Linked DNA regions of Caenorhabditis elegans. The protein of the gene in region 1 purifies or fractionates together with the protein of each later gene. This does not show direct contact. Each region holds a gene or a part of one and is shown on either strand. Other genes may lie near its edges.

What was found. The genes of interacting proteins can lie anywhere in the genome.
Region 2: the proteins of snu-66 (region 1) and prp-8 fractionate together in Caenorhabditis elegans (co-fractionation; one large-scale study listed by BioGRID). This does not show direct contact.
Region 3: the proteins of snu-66 (region 1) and lex-1 fractionate together in Caenorhabditis elegans (co-fractionation; one large-scale study listed by BioGRID). This does not show direct contact.

Annotation. Positions count from the first base shown.
Region 1 is NC_003283.11:7,570,450-7,577,874, forward strand, and holds snu-66 (SNU66/SART1 family protein), read right to left. Parts: upstream 5,222-7,425; 5' UTR 5,176-5,221; coding exon 5,069-5,175; intron 5,009-5,068; coding exon 4,970-5,008; intron 4,920-4,969; coding exon 4,259-4,919; intron 4,213-4,258; coding exon 4,103-4,212; intron 4,053-4,102; coding exon 3,764-4,052; intron 3,408-3,763; coding exon 2,724-3,407; intron 2,452-2,723; coding exon 2,228-2,451; intron 2,173-2,227; coding exon 1,999-2,172; intron 1,952-1,998; coding exon 1,873-1,951; intron 1,825-1,872; coding exon 1,724-1,824; intron 1,671-1,723; coding exon 1,649-1,670; 3' UTR 1,501-1,648; downstream 1-1,500. Other genes in the region: F19F10.14 (DUF2769 domain-containing protein), read right to left, coding at 191-289, 339-437, 493-606; ints-9 (Beta-Casp domain-containing protein), read left to right, coding at 5,390-5,398, 5,453-5,577, 5,628-5,736, 5,785-5,924, 5,976-6,062, 6,121-6,235, 6,288-6,632, 6,680-6,904 and 1 more; ets-6 (Lin-15A/B-like domain-containing protein), read right to left, coding at 7,112-7,425.
Region 2 is NC_003281.10:8,162,559-8,168,175, reverse strand, and holds the start of prp-8 (Pre-mRNA-splicing factor 8 homolog), read right to left. Parts: upstream 3,804-5,617; 5' UTR 3,800-3,803; coding exon 2,970-3,799; intron 2,916-2,969; coding exon 2,678-2,915; intron 2,637-2,677; exon of another isoform or gene 2,504-2,636; intron 2,478-2,503; coding exon 2,258-2,477; intron 2,186-2,257; coding exon 1,441-2,185; intron 1,393-1,440; coding exon 1-1,392. Other genes in the region: bath-42 (BTB and MATH domain-containing protein 42), read left to right, coding at 4,850-4,910, 4,965-5,233, 5,284-5,617. UniProt on the Caenorhabditis elegans protein: Functions as a scaffold that mediates the ordered assembly of spliceosomal proteins and snRNAs. Required for the assembly of the U4/U6-U5 tri-snRNP complex.
Region 3 is NC_003282.8:12,077,685-12,085,665, reverse strand, and holds lex-1 (Tat-binding homolog 7), read right to left. Parts: upstream 6,194-7,981; 5' UTR 6,192-6,193; coding exon 6,066-6,191; intron 6,020-6,065; coding exon 5,886-6,019; intron 5,839-5,885; coding exon 5,621-5,838; intron 5,579-5,620; coding exon 3,508-5,578; intron 3,452-3,507; coding exon 3,366-3,451; intron 3,308-3,365; coding exon 3,161-3,307; intron 3,115-3,160; coding exon 2,160-3,114; intron 1,789-2,159; coding exon 1,650-1,788; 3' UTR 1,304-1,649; downstream 1-1,303. Other genes in the region: rbm-34 (RRM domain-containing protein), read right to left, coding at 1-243; repo-1 (Splicing factor 3A subunit 2), read right to left, coding at 438-549, 632-1,188; tmed-1 (GOLD domain-containing protein), read left to right, coding at 7,506-7,667, 7,717-7,981. UniProt on the Caenorhabditis elegans protein: Thought to form a complex that enhances transcription from repetitive DNA sequences by modulating chromatin structure.

The DNA.
Region 1 (7,425 bases):
GACTTTCCTTTCCTCGATCCCGGAAGGAAAACCGTGCGAAGCACGTGAAATGGGTATCCTCGTTTATCGAAAGTTTGACGTCACTCCTGATCTTCAAAAAAAAAAAACAATATCAATGATTGTGACGTCATTTTTTCAATAATCTGTGAAAGCAAAATTATTTTTATTTTTACATGCTCAAAATTAAAAGTTATAACTCCAAAGTTTTAGTCAAATTGCCGGATGTTGTAATCTCCACAATTGTCTTTCCGGCTGGACATGACTCCGTGATGTTACGAGTTAACGGTACCTAGAATTAAACTGATTATTTCAAATCAATCGAAATAAATTCTACTTGCTTTCATTCCAATTGCAAATCCCCCAACTTTGGGCTCCACAAAAACGACTGCGTCTGAAGCACAATGAGCACATGACCCATAGTTAGTTTCGAAACAAATCTGGGATTAAAATCATACGATTTATTGAGGAGTATGTAGGTCTCTGTGAAGATACCTGACAATGAATGTCAAGGCCACAATTTATGACACAATTCAAGAAATCGACATTTTTTGGTTTCGTCTCTGTGCAATTTCGTTTCTGGAGTAGTATTCCCCGATGTACATCCATTACACCATTGAAGACAACTATATGAATTTGAGAATTCTGGAATTTGAAACTGCTAAGACAAAATGTCTGCATACCTAGGTGCCTGCCTAAAGACGCCTACATTTTGTTTTCATGATATAGGCGCAAACTCAGGTGTTTGGTTCGCATTATGCCTATCTGCCTATGCGTTTGCCTTATGAGCAACATGCTCCCAACTCACAACCCCGTATTTTTGAAGTAAGAACGCTTGTAGGCATCATGCAATACATTTTGTACCTACTTATATATGCAACTCAAAATAGTTCAAACATATTGCAATGAAACTTACGCTGAAATAAATGAATGCTCGAAGAAAAAATGCGACGGTTTTAGATTTCAACATCGTTTTGAAAATATAAAAAATATATTCAAAAGCTAAATAATTATTATTATGCTACCTACACCTCCTGCCCAATAAAGTTTGATTGATGGATGTAAACGTTTCTTGAACTTTTGTTATTGGGCTTTGGTTATTTATTACGGGAACATTAAGTTGTGAAAATGACTATTGCACAACACAGTTGACGCACAAAATATCTCGTAGCGAAAACTACAGTAACTCTTAAATTAAATGAAACTACTGTAGCGCTGGTGTCGATTTACGGGATCGACTTTCTGTGCGAATTGTGACAGTGGTATTAAATTTTCTTGAGTTTTTTCGTACTGTTTTGTGTTAAATACATAATTTCCGTAAATCGACAAAAGCGCTGTAGTAGTCTTTTCTTTTAAGAGTTTCTGTAGTTTTCGCTACGAGATATTTATGTTGCGCAATACGAATTTTCAGAATTGTGTGTCCCCCTAATACTATTGTAACTTCTTGTACGATTTTTGGAGTACTTCCAAAAGAGGAAATTCGGAGAAATCAGAAAGTCAAATGAAGAAAATGTAGATATATTCGCGAAAAAAGAATGAAAATTACAATAATTTAATTATCTGAAACTTCAATGAAAATGAAATGACTGTTTGCATAACAGCAATAGAATTATAAAATTGAATACAGGAAATTCAAAACAATGTCCATTTGTTACTCCTTCTTGAGACTCGAACTGAAATAATATTTTTCATTATTTGTTAAATATCAGAATAATTTAAAACTCACTGATCACTAGATCCACTGAGCACAAGATACGGTGTGGATAATTGTTTTTGCTTTTTGCGCTGCTTATCAAGAGTTCCCAGTGGAGTGTCGTAACTGTTTGTCTGTAAAAATGTTAATGTTCTAGAGGCCAAATTTAATATATTCTTTACCTTGAGCATTCTCTCCTCTTTGTCCTTACGATTAGCTCGTTTCTCCAACTGTTTCTTACCCGGATTGCGACCATGGAACCTGAAAAAAAAAAGTTGTAAATTTCAAAATTCACTAGACACACTCACTTGTATGATAGCTCTCTGTACGCATCTTTGGCATCCATTTCACGGCCTTTTCTGTCTACATAACTTATGTTAACATCAGGCTTGTAGTCGTGCTTCTCCGCGAATGGCATAACTGGTCCACGGTGTTGAGAGTTCAGACGATCAGCTTTTTTGGCGTTACGATCATCGGGGTCACTGGAAAAAGTTGATTTTAAAATTTCGAATTTTAAATTCACAAATAAAAACTAACAATCTTTGTCCATCGATTCGCTGTGTAGTTTTGTTTTTCAAATGATCCAGAGAAGGTCCTGAATGAGATTTTGCATTCGGATTTTGAAGATATCCTTTTTGTCCAGCCAGTTTGAGCATTCGACCGACACCCTTCGATACATCAACTTCCTGGCCGAGAGCTGGAGCATAATCATCCTTATCTTCTTCCATATCTTCATCCTCTTCTTCATCTTCCGACCACTTCTGGAAAATTATTTTTAATTGCAATATTAAATATGGAGTTTGGAAAATAGGGATTAATCTAAATCCGGATTTAGTTTCAAAATACTATGTGCAGAAATACCAAAAACAAAAACTTTTGAAAACGCAAATTATCAACTCTCGTTAATTTCGTCCAATATGAAGCCGCGTTTTTAAAAGTTGGAATTTTAAATGTTTAGCGTTTTTTTCATGATTTTTCATGATGGTTTGTGATTTTTAGCCTATTCGAATATTCGGAGTATTTTAAAACCAACCCTCTTCTTAGCCTCTTCCAATGCATCCTCATCATCACTATCAATTCTTGCATTGGATGGAGCTGGTTCTCCAGCAGCCAACCATCCTCCTTGATCTCTCAACTTTCTCTTCTCTTTTTCCTTCAATTCTTTATCAACTTTAGCACGCTTCCATTTCTCGAATCCTTCACTTCCTTCTTGTTCCATCTCTTCTTCCTTCACTTTCTTGACTTCCGATACATCAACAGTACGATTTCCTCCAAGACCGAGAGTTGTGATCTCACCAACATGACGACAGTACTCTGTCGTAGAATCAATATAGATTTGACCTTCTTTCAACGGCTTAACGTCTTCCTCCTCATCAATCTCCATTTTGACTCCATGACTCGTTAGAATATCTTGAACTTTCTTTCCAACATCGTTATCCATCTGCTTCCCATCGATTTGCTTCACTTTTCTAGTCTTCGCCAGAATTGAGCTCAACTCTTCTTCGGCGTTGTCGTCAATTACGACTCCAGTCAAATCAACGCCTCCACTGAACATCAGATCGTTATCACTGTCATCATCTTCAGCGATTTGATGCTTTGAACGAAGCTTCTGAAGACGTTGAAGGTCTACTCCATTTCCTCGCATTGCCTTCTTCCATTTTCCATTGTCAGATGAAGATTCTGGCACTTCTTTGTCACTGATTTCGCCGTCTTCATCCTGAAACGCTATTTTATCATTTTCCTATTTATTAAAATAGTCAGATTGGTCCCAAATATCGAAATACCACAAAAGAAAAACACAAAAAAAATCATTGAGATTTCAATTTCGACGCAAGTTATTTTTTGGTTTTTTTTCACTTTTGAAAAATGAAAAAATGGTCATAAATGTTTTTTAAAAAAATTTTCCAAGGAATTGAAAAAAAAGAACAAACTTAACCGTTCGCGGAACTCTACAAGAAACCTGTTTTTTAATACTTTTGAAATAAAAGCATATTTTCGAACATTTATAAACTTTTCTGTTTCATAAAAATAGAAAAACAACACGAAAAAAGAATTTTCGTCAAAATCGCTTACCTTTCCATCTTGTTTCTCTTTCTTCAGTCCTTCGTCCTCTGGTTCATCAGAATCCCTTCTTCTCCTTCCAAAATCTCTTCCTTCTCCAGCTTTTTCAACGGGCACCAAGTCAGAGGCTTTCAGAACCTTTCTTTTACGAATATTCTTCTCCTTTTTGCCTTTCTTTACTTTTCGGAATTGTGTCATCTCGTCCTGGGTGTAGAATTCACTGGCAAGCTCGTATTTTTTAGTCTCCAAACTTTCCAAACGTTTTCCTGCCATTTTCATTCGACGGAACGCTTCCATTTCACTGAAAAATGCAAGAATCAGATATTACATTCAAATATTTTGAATAACTACCGTCTTTCTTCTTCTAAATCGACACCACCGTGCTCGTCAAGTCGGAACTGTTTCTTTTGCTCTCCTTCCAACGTCTCATCGTACTTTGCAAGAACACCAAAGTTTTTTGCCTGAAAAAATAACGAATCAGTTAAACTTTTAAAATAAAATCCCTACATTTCCAAACTCGTCGACATCTTCATCAAAATTCCGATTAGGATCCTTCCGTTTCCTCAATTCAACATTTCTGACGTGACGTTCATTGTCTAGCAGATTTGGATTCACGAGAACTTCGTCTCCATCATCAAGAACTCCCTTATCTTGAAGCACCAAAATTTGATCACCTTCAATAAAAGCCTCTCTCCCATGACCAATAACCATTCCAGCTGTATCAGATGGCCCTTTGGTTTTTGGTTTCTTCGGCTTTTTCACTTTATCGACGATTGCACTGACACCAAGCTCTTCGTCAAGTTGATCAAAAGCTGCAGCTCTATCGGCGGCCTTTTTGGCTTCATCTTCTTTCTGACGCATTTTGTTCACAAAACTGGCTGCACTGTCTTCTTCATCAGAATCTGCGAGTTTCTTCGCTTTCAGGACTTTTGAATAAACATCTCGTTTCGCTTTGGCGATTTCTAGCTTCTCTTTGATATCTTTTTCTTTTTTCTTATCAGAAATATTCTCAGCTTTTCGATGTCTGAACTCAAATCCATCCTCATTATAGATTTTCTCATTGGTTCCATCATTAGCATCACGTTCCTTATTGTCGTTAGTTTCAAGAGGAGCCAAACCAAGCGAGGCGCGCAGTTTGTTTGTTTCTTCGATTGACATCGAATCCGCCCTGAAAAATAATTATTTTATTGAATGAAATGCTCTCCGTGTTATACTTACGGTTCTCCATTATCCTCAGGCTCTCGCTGTTTCGCAGATCTGCAATTTCACCTGTGAATTACAGAATTAATAAAAAGAAAAAGTAACAAAAACACTTACCTTTTCGATCGTGGAGGAGATGGAGATCTTGATGAATCTCGATTTTTTCCAACTTCAGAAGTGTCATCATCGAACTGTTTTCGTTTTTTTGAGTATTTGGAAGACATTTTCAAGATTAAAATGAGAAAAATCAATGAAAACTTGGCTGAAACTGACTGAAACTTGAATGGGACACTTTCGAAAATAAATCTCGAAAATAACGCAAACAGTATCGCGTAATGCGTCAGCACCCGCACTTAGCGCAGAATCCAATTTAATTCGAACTTATTTTTTGTATTTATCTAAAAATTAATGGAAGGGCGCTGAAACAAGACTAAAATAATGAATATCGTAGGTTTTTGATTAAAAAACTACTTGACAGATGGAATAAATAACTAATTTCAGACAAACTTCTCGGTGTACGCACAAAAACCATGTTTTCTGCTAGAATGGCCAAATGCCAGAATTCTTATGGACACTCCGATTGATTTCACACCATTTTTCAGCTTCCTCCCACATGTATATCAAAGGTAAATCAAGGAAAAGTGACGTCGTTTCTTTTCAAAGCAAAAAATTTCAGCCCGCGAATCAAAAATGCTCCGATCGCCAAGAAGTTTCAGATACCGTATCTGAAAGAGCTCGGAAACCGTGTCTACGTCGAATCGCCACCTGAAATTTTCCACGTATCGGTTTGTAAACATGGAGATTAATTAAATTTAATACTAGACGCATTTCAGACGGATATGCTAAAAATGGATACAATCGACGCAATTTTGGTGTCCAACTATGAATCATTCGTCGGTTTGCCGTTCTACACAGAGGGTTCCGGATTTTCTGGGAAAATTTATGTTACGGAGATTGCGTATCAGTACGGAAAGTGAGTGATATAAGAAATTGGATATTACAACTGCTAGATAAAAATTTACAGACTTTTGATGGAGGAAATGCTCGAGTTCATTTCTCGAATTGAAGTATTGCCAAGTGATAAAAAATGGAAAAGAGAAGAGTTTTGTGGGTCAGTTTATAAAATAAAAATTATGTTTCATAATTTTCAACCTTTTTCCGTTTTTCAGAAAATTTCCAAATCCTCCATTTCAAAATCCCGTCGAGTGGCGCCCCTACTACACGACAACTGATATGCACAGTTGCCTTGCCAAAGTAATCACATTAAGTTTTAATCAAACAATTGTAAGTTGTTAATAAGAAGTTTGAATATATTTAAGAAAATTGCAACTTCCAGGATCTCTTCCGTATTAAAGTGACTCCTGTAGTTTCCGGACACACTTATGGCTCAGCTTACTGGACAATCAAGACAGAAAATGAGCAATTTGCATATCTCAGTGCTTCGAATCCTTCTGCAACAGACGTGAAGCTCATGGAGACGGCGCCGCTTAGAGCCGTTGATCACATTCTTGTCACTTCATTGAGCAGACTAGTGGATACAACTGCAAAAGAAATGGGATATTCTCTTATCAAAACTATCACGGATGTTCTGAAGAAACATGGATCGGTTCTGCTTCCAATTTGTCCAGTTGGTCCCATTTTCGAAATGATTGAAGCGGTTTCTGACATCATCACTACTACGGTAATTAGGAAATCCGGTGGTTTTCACAATTTAAAAATTGATTTCAGAATGGAATTCCCCTGGATACCCCTATCTACTTCATTTCCCCGGTCGCTAAAAGCGCAATAGCAATGGCCAGTATCAGTGCCGAGTGGATGTCAGAATCCCGTCAAAATGCTGTATATCTGCCAGAAGAGCCGTACAGTCACAGTAATCTTATCAAAAGCGGACGAGTAAAGATCTACGATTCGCTATACGGATCATTCTCTAAAGAATTCAAAACTCCTTGTGTGGTGAGTAAAAATTGAAATTAATCTACTAAAAAGTAAAATTTCAGATCTTCGCCAGCCACGCATCACTTCGCATCGGAGATGCTGCCCACATGGTCGAAGTTCTTGGATCAGATCCGAAGAATGCAGTGATTGTTACAGGTAACAATACGAAGAATCATGTTTCTGTGATTTATTATTATAAATTAAACGATTTATTGCAATTCGCGATTATTTCAATGTCGGAAAATGATCAAAACAAATGTAACCTTCAGTGTCTGCTTCTAGAGCTACTATCAGATTAGATCCGTTCAACTCCATATATTTCCACGTGGCCGGTGCCTCCAAAGTCCCAGATTTCATGCAATTTGCCAATCTCCCCGCGTGTTTCTGGATGTTGGCCATGTCTTTGCGATAATCGATTTTTTGACAAATTGAGCAAGATTTTTGGCAATTTTTGATGGTAAACTTGCGGCAATATTCTTGGAATTGGCAAAAGTGCAATCTCTTGTCGCCTGCAATGGTGATCGCAGTTCCCAGCACTC
Region 2 (5,617 bases), on another chromosome or scaffold:
CCCAAATTGACATCATGTTTCATCAATCTCATTCTAGCGTCTCTTGGCCAACACTTTTTGTTGTTATAACCGACAATATTCTCATTATTCGGATCTGGATGCTCTGTCAAGTATCTTTGAATCAAATCACGTGCTTCATCAGCACTGAAACGGAACATGATCCAAACTCGGTCGATGTACCGGCAGTAGAGACGAATAGGGTGACCAATTTCTGTGGCAACATCCTGGAATTGCAAGAACTCGTTTGGACATTGGGGCGGACCGGCAATTTCGGAAGCTCGTCGAAGTCCAAGAACAAGAAGATCAAGAACTAATCCATAGAATTGAACAATAAACGAAGCAAATTGTAGACCACGAATAATTCCGAAAGAATTGGTGTGGTTCATATCCTTATAGTTGATGAGAACGTTGTTCTTCGAAGTCATGTAATCGGCAATATTGTGATCCACAATCAATCTGAGCAATCTATTGAGAAGTGTCAAATCCATTTTTTCAGCAATTTTCTCCAATTTTGTTTCCATGATGACATTACACTCTCCTTCACTTGTCTCCCAAACATCTTGAAGATTGTTGAGACCTTGACACCATTTGTATGTAAGAAGCGGTGGTGGTTCAGTATCTCCTGGTTTCACCCATGCCGGGAACAATCTTCTCTTGTCTGCTTCATACCAGAGGTATTGATCGAGGTAAGCGTCAGTGACTTTCTCAAGAGGCTCGATATCGTAGACTGGAATAAGATGAGTGTAGAGATCCATAAACTCAATTCCGACTTCTTTGAATGCACGCTGCGTGAGCATGTGTCTCTTGATACGAGACAAAGCTTCGTGAGGATTATCATAAGCCTGTTCAATTAAAGCCAGTTCTTCTCTTTGGGATTGATTCAATCTATTCTTCACACTGTAACTTTCCTTCAGTCTTTCAAGAGCCAAAATAAGAAGTTTTGTGTCGTGTTTGTAAGAAAGTGGTGGGAAAGGAATCGGAGAAAATCTTCTTGATTCCAGCCAATGTACTGTAGTCGTGTAAATTGCAACAGCTTCTTCTGCAGAGATATATGGTCCGTCCTTCAAGTAATTGTGTTGTCTTTCTTGCTCTGATTTCAGGTATAATCTTGTCAATCTACCCAAGTTCTTCTTGCACACAGTTTTGTCTACTGTCGCTCCTCGTCTTACACGTTCTCTGTTGTAATGTGCCGAATTAGTCCACCAATCAGCCTTTGCTTTCACATAACGTAGAATCATATTTTCAACTGGAGTTGGCAGTCCGGGAACCTTCCATGGAATATTAGCCTTCCAACATCTCCACGCCTCTGACAAATGCTGAAGAATAACACGAGCCTTATTTTGTTTGATTCCGTCCGGCATCATATCCAGAATGTCATGCATGACAGCAGCACTGAAAATATTAATAAATAAATTCGTTTTCTTGCCATTTAAAGCTTACCGTAATTCAAGATCGAAATGAGATTCAACTCTTTGCTTGGTGACTGTCTTGGCCACTCCCTTTGAATGTCTTCCTTCGAATTGTCGAGACAACAGATTTCCAAGCCATCTCTCGAGCAGTGGTGTGATTCCACGCAAGAAGAACAACCAAACTCTCCATCCCGGAGCCCAAAAACCACATCCAGGTCCTTTACCAACCGGCCCAGTGTTGAAACGATAGTAGATGAGATGCTTGAGATCCTTGCACATTCTGACTTGTCTCATGAGCTTGTACTTGTAACGATACATTCCGGTCAGTTGACCGACGTGAGCAAAGATATATTGTAGACCATCTGCAAGTTGGTACGCATCGACGTTGTTCAAACGATACTGAACATGGGCATCAACAACAAGTTTTGTGAGACGAAGGATTTCTCTGCACAAATGGAATGCATTTCCGAAACGAGATTTCTTTCTTTCCTTTGTTGTCAATGTTTTAACTGGTTTCAAATTGAAGTTGTAATCAAGATGAAGATAGTTGAGATTCTTTCGGTGAATGAGCAAATTGAGCATGTTGTATCCTTGACGAAGAACTTGCAATCCAGCTTCTACCCAATCCAGGGTGGTTGTTTGGAAGAATTTTGTTGCCTTGAAGGAACGGAACAGATAACGACGCTTCTGGGGCTTCGGTGGACGATGTTTGAGAGCGTTCAGAACAAACACCTTGAGCAGTTTCTGATAAGAAACACGAACTTTCACGGGCATTCCTGAAAAATTGAATATATTATTTCAGCTTAGTATGCGAGAAACGAAACGAAAAAAATAGAAACAAAACTAACCTGCTGGACAATGTTCTCTATACCACGATTTGACAAGTGGTACATCCACTGCTCTTCTCGTTCTTCCCGATCGAAGATTGAATGGCCGAGGGGCCCATAGAAGTGCTAAACCATTAGCCGTGTTATCGGTGTAGAGTGGAACGTCTTCAAAAATGGGTCGAACATCTTCAGGCAGCTCCCACTCGTCTTCCTCTTCACCTTCTGGTAGATTTTCTTCAGTCTGAAAATGTTTTGACATACAATACGAATTGTCTCCAGTTTTATTTCTAGATATCACCGACAAAAAGGATGATTTCTCGCCTTTAATGGAAAATTTATATTGCGAATTTCGGCTACTGACTACCTTGTAAATTTATAGGAATCTGTTTATAATATCCGCATTTTATTTTAAAACATTGCTGAAACTTGTAAATAACTCACTGCTTTCAAGTTGCTGAGAACGATTGGATTGATCAATGGATCATAGTAGAATGCGGGAAGATCTGGGTCTTCAGTTTTGATAAATACAACTGAAGGAGTATGATACCATGAAACTTGAACAGGCAGCGAGCTGATCAGATTGTTGTACATGAATGGGAATGCAATTCTGTACTCGGTACGAATTGGAGCTCGAATAATAACTTTATTGATATCATTGAACTCGTTCCAGTCTTCATCACTGAAAATAATAAAATAGTATGCGTCATAACACAACTGGAAGCTTTTCACTTACGTATGTAAATCTTTTACCAATGGTTCGAACTTCGGGCCTCCTGGAATTGCAACGTTGAGTGCTTTAGCAGTGAAGAAACTTTTCATGTCAAACAAGTAGAAGTAGTTATCATCTACTAAATCGGTAAGCAGCTGATTTGCAAGACGATACAATGTGGACATCTGTGGAATACTGAATGCCCATTTTCTGTACGTTGGGCCGTTCACAAATCGAGTTGTTGCAAGAGGCTTGTGATCGTAGAACCATTCAGCAACAGCTCCGTCTTCTTCTGGATCTAGTTCCATTTGAATTGGCTCTAAAGGCTCGACATCCAGAATATTATCAGCATAATCGAGAGGCGGTTCTTCATCGTCAAATGGAGGGAATCTCATTCGCTTGAAATGACGACGATCACGTTTTTCTCTTCTCATCATAATCCACATCGTTCCCCATTGTGCCATGTAGACCGGCTCGATGACACGCGGAATGTCGTTGACAAAAGTGATCGCACCGGTGATGTGATACAGAACTTTTACATCTCTGATTTGTTCCCAGGGCATCGGCATGTTCTCCAGTAGCTTCAAAACGGCATGTGGCATATATTTCAAAGCACCGAGGTAGACTCTTTTATCATGACGATATTTGCGAGAAGTCATATCACCATGATCTCTGATAACTTTTCGGACGTGCTCAGGTGGCATTTCTTCTTTCTGCGTATCGGACATTCCAAACTTCTTTTTCTCCGAATACCGCTTTCCTTGAAGTTGTTTCCATTTTCGAGACTTTTCTTCCAGAATTGAATCCGGGATAGCATGTGGTTCAGTTTGGGGATGACCGCCGTAGTTGGCCATACCTATAACACACTATATAAAAATAGAATTAAAACTAATCAATGAGTTGACGAGCAAGGAAAAATAAGTATTACTGTAGAGAAACTGGAAAGAGAGATTTGTCTTTGTTTAGACTGTAAGATCACATGAATTGATAGTTGGAATTGTGCATTACAGTTAATAGCGCACAAAATTTACATTAAAAAACGGAATTTATTCAGACTGAACCAGAAAATCATGAATAAAAACCGATAATTTCTATTTTCGAAAGTAAAATTTAAATTTCCTTAAATCTAAACAACGCGCGCAATTGTGTCGAGTGGAGCGTCGTACTTAGATCTGCAGGTGTTTGAGGTTACGGTGCCCGGTAATTCAAACACTCTTCGGCGTAATGTTTCGATCAATAGACCCGCCTCTTCTTGGCAGCCATTATTTGCGTTCGCGTTCGCCGCCGCCGAGGAAAGACATCTGCCCGAAAAAATTTATTGATTTTTCGAAAACTTATTGGCATTTTCTATTGCCCTCAGAATCTGAGTAAAGCTTCTGAATTGCAACTTTTCCTTTTTCAAGTCATGTGACTGGGGTAATATCATTTTTTCGAAACTGTTCCGAATTTTGTACAAATATCAATTTTTCGAAAAGGAAATTATTTCCAAACTGTCATTGTTACCCATTTTATATTGAAATGTACCACATTTATTCCTCATAGACGAGTTCATGAAGATCTCCTTTTGAAAACTTTAAAAACTGTCCAACTTAAAAAAAAGGTAGTATTTTCGAATATCAAACGGCGATTTCGTAATTTTAATACTTTTCTAATATGTGTAATTTTTCGTAGATCGGTTTCGAAAATCGTATTGCTTATTTCGTAACTCTAACAAAGAACTCCTGCTTTTCGTAAATAATTCATTCGCGGAGTTTCCCAGTTGTTGTGTCTTTTTGAATTTAATCATTTTCTTTTATTTTTATCGAGATTATCGGGAATAGCTTTCTTTTAATTGAATTTATTTTCAGAATAACCTCTTGCTCGCTCAACTTATCAACAGAGGTAAAACTTATTCGCAATATAATATGTCTTCACGTTCCTCGTGGTCATCCACGGAGCAGATTAATCGCACAATCAGTTCCAGAGGTTAGTGAGAATAGCTCAATTAATTTGAGAGTTTAACATTATTTTCATTTTCAGCTGACGATCTTCCTCCACAACCTCGCCGTCTAGAAGTAGTTTCGAAGCAAGCAACGCGTGTGACGGCACTTTCTACAAAATTGGAATGGAAAATCGAACAATTTGAGAAATTGATGAAACTAATCAAAAACGGTTCGAATCTTATTTCAAGAATGTTTAGTGTCCCTGATGCGCCAACAGTTTGCTGGGAACTTCATGTGTATCCAAATGGAAAGCGTGATGAAGATGTGAATAATGTATCGTTTTTCTTGAGACAAGTTGGATTAGCCGTAAGTTTCATTCATATTTTCTATATATAAAATATAAAAACCTTTTTCAGAGAGGAGAGGAGCCCATCATGACAGAATTTCAAATTTATGCTCTCGATGCTAATAATCAAAGAGTCAGTGTATGCAGAGATACCAAAGATTTCACAAACCAACAAGGGCGTGGAAAGTTCCAAGTTTCGCGTGATAAGATGCTTGGGGCACTTCGATCTGACGGAACTCTCTTTTTGATTTGTGAAGTTGAATACTTCCCTCCTGGATCAAAAATATCAGTTGAGCCAGTTGTGGACGAAGATGTTAGCACAGAGGAGCAAGAAGAAATGCCTGAAGTAATTGTACGCGCAAATAATCGAAGTATGTGGGAAGATGAGCTATTCACCGATTGTG
Region 3 (7,981 bases), on another chromosome or scaffold:
TGGATCATACTTTCTTCTTTTAGGTTTTTCAATTACTTTATCTCCCTTCACAACTTCCTCTTGTACTGCTGCTCCTTCTGACGACTTTCCGAAGAGACTTGATAATCCACCAGCCTGATAATTATCAGGTTCAGAGACTGGAAGACTTGGTTTCTGCTTCTTGATTTTCTTCGGAGCTTCTGCAACGGCTTCTGCGTCAGCGGACACTGCTTCAGCTTTTCTTTTGACAACCTTCTTCGCCATCTGAAACTGATTTTTTAAACTATGAAAACTATAATTTTAATTGAATAGACATTGTAGACGGATCAGTCAACCTATACTTGATTTAAATAAAATATCATCATTAAAAAAAAGGAAAATAATTTATTGTTAGATCATCGAAAAACACGAAAAAATTGTTTTGAATTTTGAAATCAAAAAGATAAAAACATAGAGTATCAATAGTACGGCTGATCATCGAGTCGTTCCAATTTGAATGCGACTTGTAAGAAGAATTGCTTCGTGTCTTTGTTCCACATCGTCCAAAATTTTTCAGATTTGTCAACTTCTCTGGAAAAAATTACTTGGTATATACAATTTTTTTAATCGTAACTATGAGATAGAAAAGTGCTAAAATGTTGTAAAGCCTCACCTTGATGGAATTTTGAATCCAATCGTTTCATACGGCTCAGCAGCAAACAAGAGGTATTGCCATCTCTTGTCTGGAGGCTGAATCTTTTGCTCATAAGCAGACATAAATCGATGACGTGGCGCAATACCGTCAGCAATCTCCGGATAATCAATTTGGAAGAGAAGTGCTTGCTGGCCAGCTCCTGGATCACGTTCTTTTGTTACCTTGTATCCAGGACGTCCGATTTTCACAAACTTTTTAGTTTCAACTGCAGCTTTCTGTGGAGCTGGTAGAAATGGTTGTTCAGATTGTTCTTTAGCGGCACGCCGTGCAAGATTCGCTTGATGCTTCTTTCCTTGTGTATGTGCCAAATAAGATCCTTCATTGTTGTGAAGAGTAAGACACAGCTTGCATTCGTACGTTCCAATGTGATTTCGCATGAAATACGGATCCTTTTGAAGATCAATTGTCTCTAGAGCCAACTGGCGGAGCCGTTCCCGTCGATCAACACCAGCATCGGCGGCCGAAGCCACTCCTCCGCTTCCCGTTTTTCCTCCAGCTCTGTTCTGAAAGTCCATCTGAAAGAAAAAGTTTAGATGATTGAATATATTATAAATTTAAAATAAAATCGAAAATATATAAATATCCGAAGTTAAACGGATCATTAAAACAAAAATAGGTATTAGCATTAAACATCGAATGATTCACAATTTACTCATTTTCGAAAGACCAGGTTAAAGATAATGGAAAAGATTAATGAAATAATAGAAGGGCACGTGAATACACCCGAGAGGCAGGCAATGCTCACTCGAATAAATTGGAGGGGAATTAATTATGGTAGAGATTTAATTTGAATAAAAATGGACAAAGAAAAATAGGTGAGTATCACGGTAGCCGCACTTATTTTGAAAGTTTTCTTTCGCACAAAGGGGTTTTTGACAAGAGGAAAACTGGTGGAAATTATGATAAAACGGATTTCAGTTTGAAATTATAAAATCGATAAACGGAGGTAGATTGGAAGAGGAGGATGGGACATCATTTAGTGTCCATTGGCAAGATTTCCATTCGATTTGTTGAGGGTTCCATTAACAATTGTATTGTTCGAATCGTCAGCTGTTTGCCATTCACGTACAATTTGGGTAAGTTGGGCTGGTAGATTTTCGCGGTTCCATTCGTCCCTGAATAATATTTAATTGTTAAAAATAAATATTGTTTATTTTATTCTACATTGTGACTACAATTTTTTCGGGATTTTTCAGAGAATATCGAAAATATCAAAATAGGAAAATCACGGAAAAGCCGAAGAAATGTACAGAAAATTACGAGCATTTTTTCAATTGAATTGAAATTTTTTCAATTAACCGGAAATTATTGAAAATTTCAATTTTTTTTCAAAATAACGAAATTATCAATTTTTGAAATTTTCAAAAATATAAACAACCTTCATAATAAATGTTTTCTATGTTTTAAAACGTTCCAAAAATCCTTAACATTTCCTTTTAGTTCAAACAAAAAGAACAGCGAGGTAATAAAAAATCATATAACTCACCGGAATCGTTCAATTGTATGTGATAGAACAGAAGACAAACGTTCCAACTCGCTGACTGACCAACCCTCCGACTTTTCGACACAACACTGAATCAGCTCGCATGTTGCTGGCTTCGAAACTATCAATTCTTTCTCAGCAATCGAAATTTGCACGGAAGGTGTAGAATCTTTAGAAGCATCTTTCATCTCGATATCATGTTCACTGTTTGGAGTTTCCTGATTTTTCTTGATTTCAAGATTTTCTACAATTGTATCTTCTCCTGCGTCTTCAACTGTACTATCTTCATCGTGCTCTTCAGATTCGCCGGTTTTGCTTTTCTTTTGACCCTTCTTCTTTTTGAGCAATTTCTTTTTATTTCCAGCAGAAGCTGGAACTCCATCAGTTGATGTGCTCGTTCCTTCTTCACTTTTCATATCTTCTACAGGGACAACAACGAGTTCCAATGTTGGAGCAGCTACACCAAGCTTGCTCAACATTTTTTGATTTTCAGCTTCACGCTCTGATGTCCATTGCTCAATTTCTTTTGCAAGTGAATTGGTCATAGACCACGCCTTTTTTCGGGCAAAACCTTTGGGAATTTCTGTGAGTAATTTATCAGAGGTTGGAGTTACTCCAGCGTCTTGTAGCATTCGTGAAACTGTTTCAATTCGTTCGACAAACGATTCGTCAAGTTCACACTCGATCAGATCATCAATTGCATCTCGAAGTGTATTTGCCATTTGACGAATCAGTTTTCCGTCTTTTGTTGTCGACGGATTATATTCGAGAGCATTCGTTTGAATCAATATCAAGTCAGCAACAAATTTGTCCGCATGATTATATTCGCAATTATTCAGCTTTTCCATAATATCCTGCATACAAATCGGTGTTTCGATAATCTCATAATAGTCCTCAGCCTCATCCGGATCCACGGGCTCGACAAATTCAACGAATCGACGATCTCGCATAAGACGTGCTGAAAATATTCAATGAGGTTGAGCATGCGGAATATTAAAACTCACTGAGCCTCTCTTTGAAGAATAATCTCATTTGTCGCTGCAAAGCAGTGTACATCTTCAAAAGTTCTCTTGTCTCGTCATCATTGAGCTTTCTAGAAGGCTTCGAATCGGGAGAATCGTCATCTGGTAGAGGCATCTCATAGACTGTTGCTGAAATATGGACAAAGGATTTAAAATTTTTAAAAAATTGTATTTCGTTGAGACTTACGATCAAATACTTTTGGTGGAGTGTTAATCTTCTCAATAACGTGCTCGAAATATTTTTGACGAATTGTTCGGCGGGAAGGATTCAAACTGAAAATTATTATATTTTAAAAATGTTCTGAAAACACATTTCTAGTTATACTCACGTGATACAGTTTGCATGTCTGAAAATTTCCGTGACATATTCAGGCGCATCTTCAAACGAAGTGTCAAGCGTCGATAGGAAAAGAATCGGCGTGAAACCAGTCATTGATTCCAGACATGTGATAAGCATATGTTGAACTGATACAGGAATGACTTTAATCCATTCATCGATTGATGGAAGAAGCATGATACATGGGCCGGTTGCTGATGCACGCATTGCCGACTGAATTGCATTTGAAAATGCTTCTTCTGGACGTCCATCTGTTAAAAGACTTGAAACAGAAAGAGAGAACACCGGTAGATGATCCAGTTTTGCTAGAATGGCGGGAAGAACGTAAGACGTTTGTCCACCGTCCGCGAGTTGCTCAGATCCACATAGAAGAAGACGAATAGCAGGCACGGTTGGATTAGGTTCCAATGCCCTAACAACTTGTTCCAGTTCGCTTGAAGCTGTCGCCATTGCATTTTCCACGCATCGATATCCTTGTGGAATTCTCAACGAAATCAAGTTGCTCACAGTATCTCCAAGTAAAATTGAAGTTCGTTCATCCAATGGTCTCGATGGAATTGTAAGATCTCGTCTGGAAGCAGGTGTGATCCTCCGCATTGCATGTCCAAAATGCTCAGAAGTGATTTTAATGGTGGCAACGTCGAGTTTCAGCCTTTCAGAACACATGTAGATATGAGGATATCGAGATCTCAATCCAATAAGAACTGCTTCTGTGCACAAGAATTTCAAATCGGCACCGCAATATCCACTAGTTCTCTCTGCAATAGCATCGAGTGTTTCCGGAATCGGTTTGTTTTCCTCCCATTTGGAAGTGTGAATATCTAAAATTTGTCGTCGGGCATTCAAATCAGGAAGGGAAAAACGGAGTTCCCTATCAAAACGTCCTGGTCTTCGTAGAGCTGGATCAAGAGTATCTAATCGATTTGTAGCTCCAATTACAACAACTTCTCCTCGACCATCTAATCCGTCCATCAGTGCTAACAATGTACTCACTATGCTCGCATGAATTTGATCTTGTTTCGAAGAACGAACTGGAGCTAAACCATCGATTTCATCAAAAAAGATAATTGATGGACGCATGGCATATGCTTGATCAAACAATAGTCGAAGTTGTCTTTCAGACTCTCCGACCCATTTACTCAAACAATCAGCTCCTTTTCGCATAAAGAATGCAACTTTGTTGGCTCCTCTTCGGCATTCATTCGCAAGAGCACGTGCAACAAGAGTTTTTCCGGTTCCTGGGGGCCCATAGAATACGACACCTTTTGGCGGATTTATTCTGAACTTTTCAAATACTTCAGGATAAAGCATTGGGAAAAGGACAACTTCTTTGAGAGATTGAATATGATGACCGAGTCCTCCAACTTGATCGAAACCAACCGACGAATCAACACTCATTGGATCAATGTCACTTGCACCTTGACCAGCATCAGTTTTTCTCATTCGATCCATCAGAATGTGTTGGGCAGACTGCAATTCTTTTTCGGTCATATTGATCGGCATAAATCGACCACGTTCACGTTCTCCACGGTTATGCATATGAGGCCTCGATTGACGTTTATCAGGTCTCGGAAGCACCATATCATCACTATCAGAATCCGAATCGCTTCGTCTTCGACGAGATCCATTTCGATTGCGGTGATGTCTGTTTTGATTTGCAACCCGATGATGTTCAAGACGAGCCCGTCGATTTTCACGAGCTTCTGATGCATTGAACTGGACAACTGGTTGACGGCGGCGAAGACTGTATTGACGTGGAGCAGTTGATTCCTCTGAACTTTCTGCATTGCTGCTATCATCCTCTTCTTCTTCTGGATCTTTTTCACCGCTTTGCTCATCTTCTTCAGCGCCTTCCTCCTCTTCTTCCCTTCCAATTTTCTCAATCAAGTCCTCATTTTCTTGTTCAGCCATTCCATCAATTTCAGCAATTGGTAGCACAATCTCGCCACCTCCTTCCATTGGCAACGGATCATCTGCTGCTAGATTTTCCTCTGGTTGCTCACTTCCAAGGCGCTTGGCGGCTTTGCGAGTCCTGCGAACCGGCGACTCTTCCTGTTCTGAAACTGAAATTCGCTTATATTTTTGAAATTATGCGATTCGTGTACCTCCAAGTTCTTCGTGCATTGATGAACGTCTTCTGGTGCTACGTCGAGTTGCACGCTCGGGGACTGTGTTCTCAACGTGCGCCGCTTCAGCAAAATCTTCCTCTTCCTCGTCAGACAAATATATCCGCTTTCGTTTTGCAGGCGGCACTTTTTGATTTCGCTTGGATTCATCTATCGCCTGCATTACTTGTTGTCTGTATGTCATCGAATTCGAGCTTCTAAATTTTAACAATTATAATATTTTTTGTCAAAATTATCAAAAAACCTTCGAGTTCGATATCGTCTTTCATCTTCCTCGCTGCTAATTGCCTCATGATATTCCTCTTCGTAATAACGATTGTGATTAATTTTCCGTCCGGAACGTGTGTACCCATTTCCATCTACACCACCGCTGCTTCTCTGTAAATAGTCAATTTAAAAATGTATATGTTTTGAATTAACTCACTCTTCTGCTTGATGGTGCGTACATGTCATCAAAATCCTCGTTGCACTGACCCGCATACGAACGCGAGTGATCTCGAGCAGATCTCCGCAAATTTTTGCGCGGAGAAAATCCGTCTGAGCGAGGCATCTCTGAAAAGCTGAAATTTTCGAAAAATCGATAATGTAACAAGTGAAAATGATACGTAAAAATTCTTATTTTAATTTATCGAGATGAGAAAAGATAATAGTGGAGGAATAAGTAGATGTTTTAATCTAAGAATTCGGCTTTTGTTTTAAAATTATGGGAGAGTACAGAATGAAGCAGTAATCGATGAAACCGAAACTACTATATTTCCATTACGAAAAACGAAAGCTAAACTGTAAAAATCGGATGCATTTTATACAGAAAACATTTTCGAAAATGAAATCGTTGGGTGAAAAGTAAATGTGGAAATGAGAATGGCTGGAGAGAGCGAGCGATGGGAGAGGCAGGCACGAGGCGGGGAAAAGTGCATGAGAAGAGTGTAAATGCGCTCTATGGAAACACAAAATGAGAACTAGTTTAAAATTAATTTCTATAGACTGGGGAATTTAAATTCAAGAAAATTATAAGAAAAATAATCAATAATCAAATCAATTTGAAGAAAAATGGACGAAAGGAAAATTGTGGAAATTGACAATATTTACTCACTATCGTTGGCTAACCGAATTTCGAAATAATTAGAAAAAAATCTGATCAAAACCAATATTTAAGTTTAAAACCAATAAATTGTGAACAGAAGATACTCAGGATTTCATGTGGCATCAATTTTCAGATGTTTCACACAGTAAACTCTGAAAATTTTTACCTAAATTGAAATACCGTCGTTTTCTACGTATAAGGATGTAAAAATAATGTATTTGTGAAGGAAATTAAACAATTTATCGCAAAAAACGCATGCGCAAAACAAATGAAAACTGGAAAAAAGAAATCTGAAGACTACTGTAAGCATTTCAAGACCCAAGAGTTATTTTTGAAAATGTTCCTGTAAAGCAGGCCCAGAAATTATTTGGTGTCGTGTTTTCTGCGTTAAAAGCTTATGAAAATAACTTCAAAACATACTAAAAATTAAATTTATACCTATTGAACGTTTTTAATCGTAATTTATCTTTCCATCACGCCAGTGAAAGAAAAATTCTGATTTGAAAAAAAATAGGTGTAATCGCGCTCTATTGGACACAGACAAACTCTGAAGATTTACACGTAAACTATGCGAGTTTTTCGTTAATTTTTTGTTTTTATCTTATTTATTATAAAATTAAAGATATAAATGAATTAAATAATTGCATTAAACAATTTTCCGAAGCTGTAATTCTGAAATTATTGTCTTGAAAATATGTTATTGCCTCGTTTTCAATAGCTTTACTACAAAAATGCATCGTCAATTTGTTGGCTTTCTCTTAAAATCAATTAATTTCAGCAATGGGTGAATTCACCAATATAATCACTGTAATTCTTCTCATCACTCCATTTATTCTATGTGGAGAGTACGATTTTACAGTCGAAGTTCCTGCCGGAAAATTCCAGTGCTTTTTTCAACCTGTGGATCTTGCAAAACACAAAACCCTCGAAGTTGATTATCAGGTATTTTATAATTCTAAACCATTTGCTGCATTTTAAATCTTGATTTCAGGTAATCGACGGTGGTGACTTAAATATCAATTTCATGATACTTCACGGGGCGAACATTCTGAAGCAGGACCAGCTGAAAGTCGACGGATCCCATCGAATTGAACTGAATCAACCAGGAGATTATCAAGTCTGCTTCGATAATTCATTCAGTTATCAATCTCGAAAAGTTGTATTTTTCGAGATATTTTTGTTTGATGCACATGGCAACCTCGACGAAGCCGATTTATCTGCAATGGCACGTACTGATTCTGATCTTTCTGCAAAAA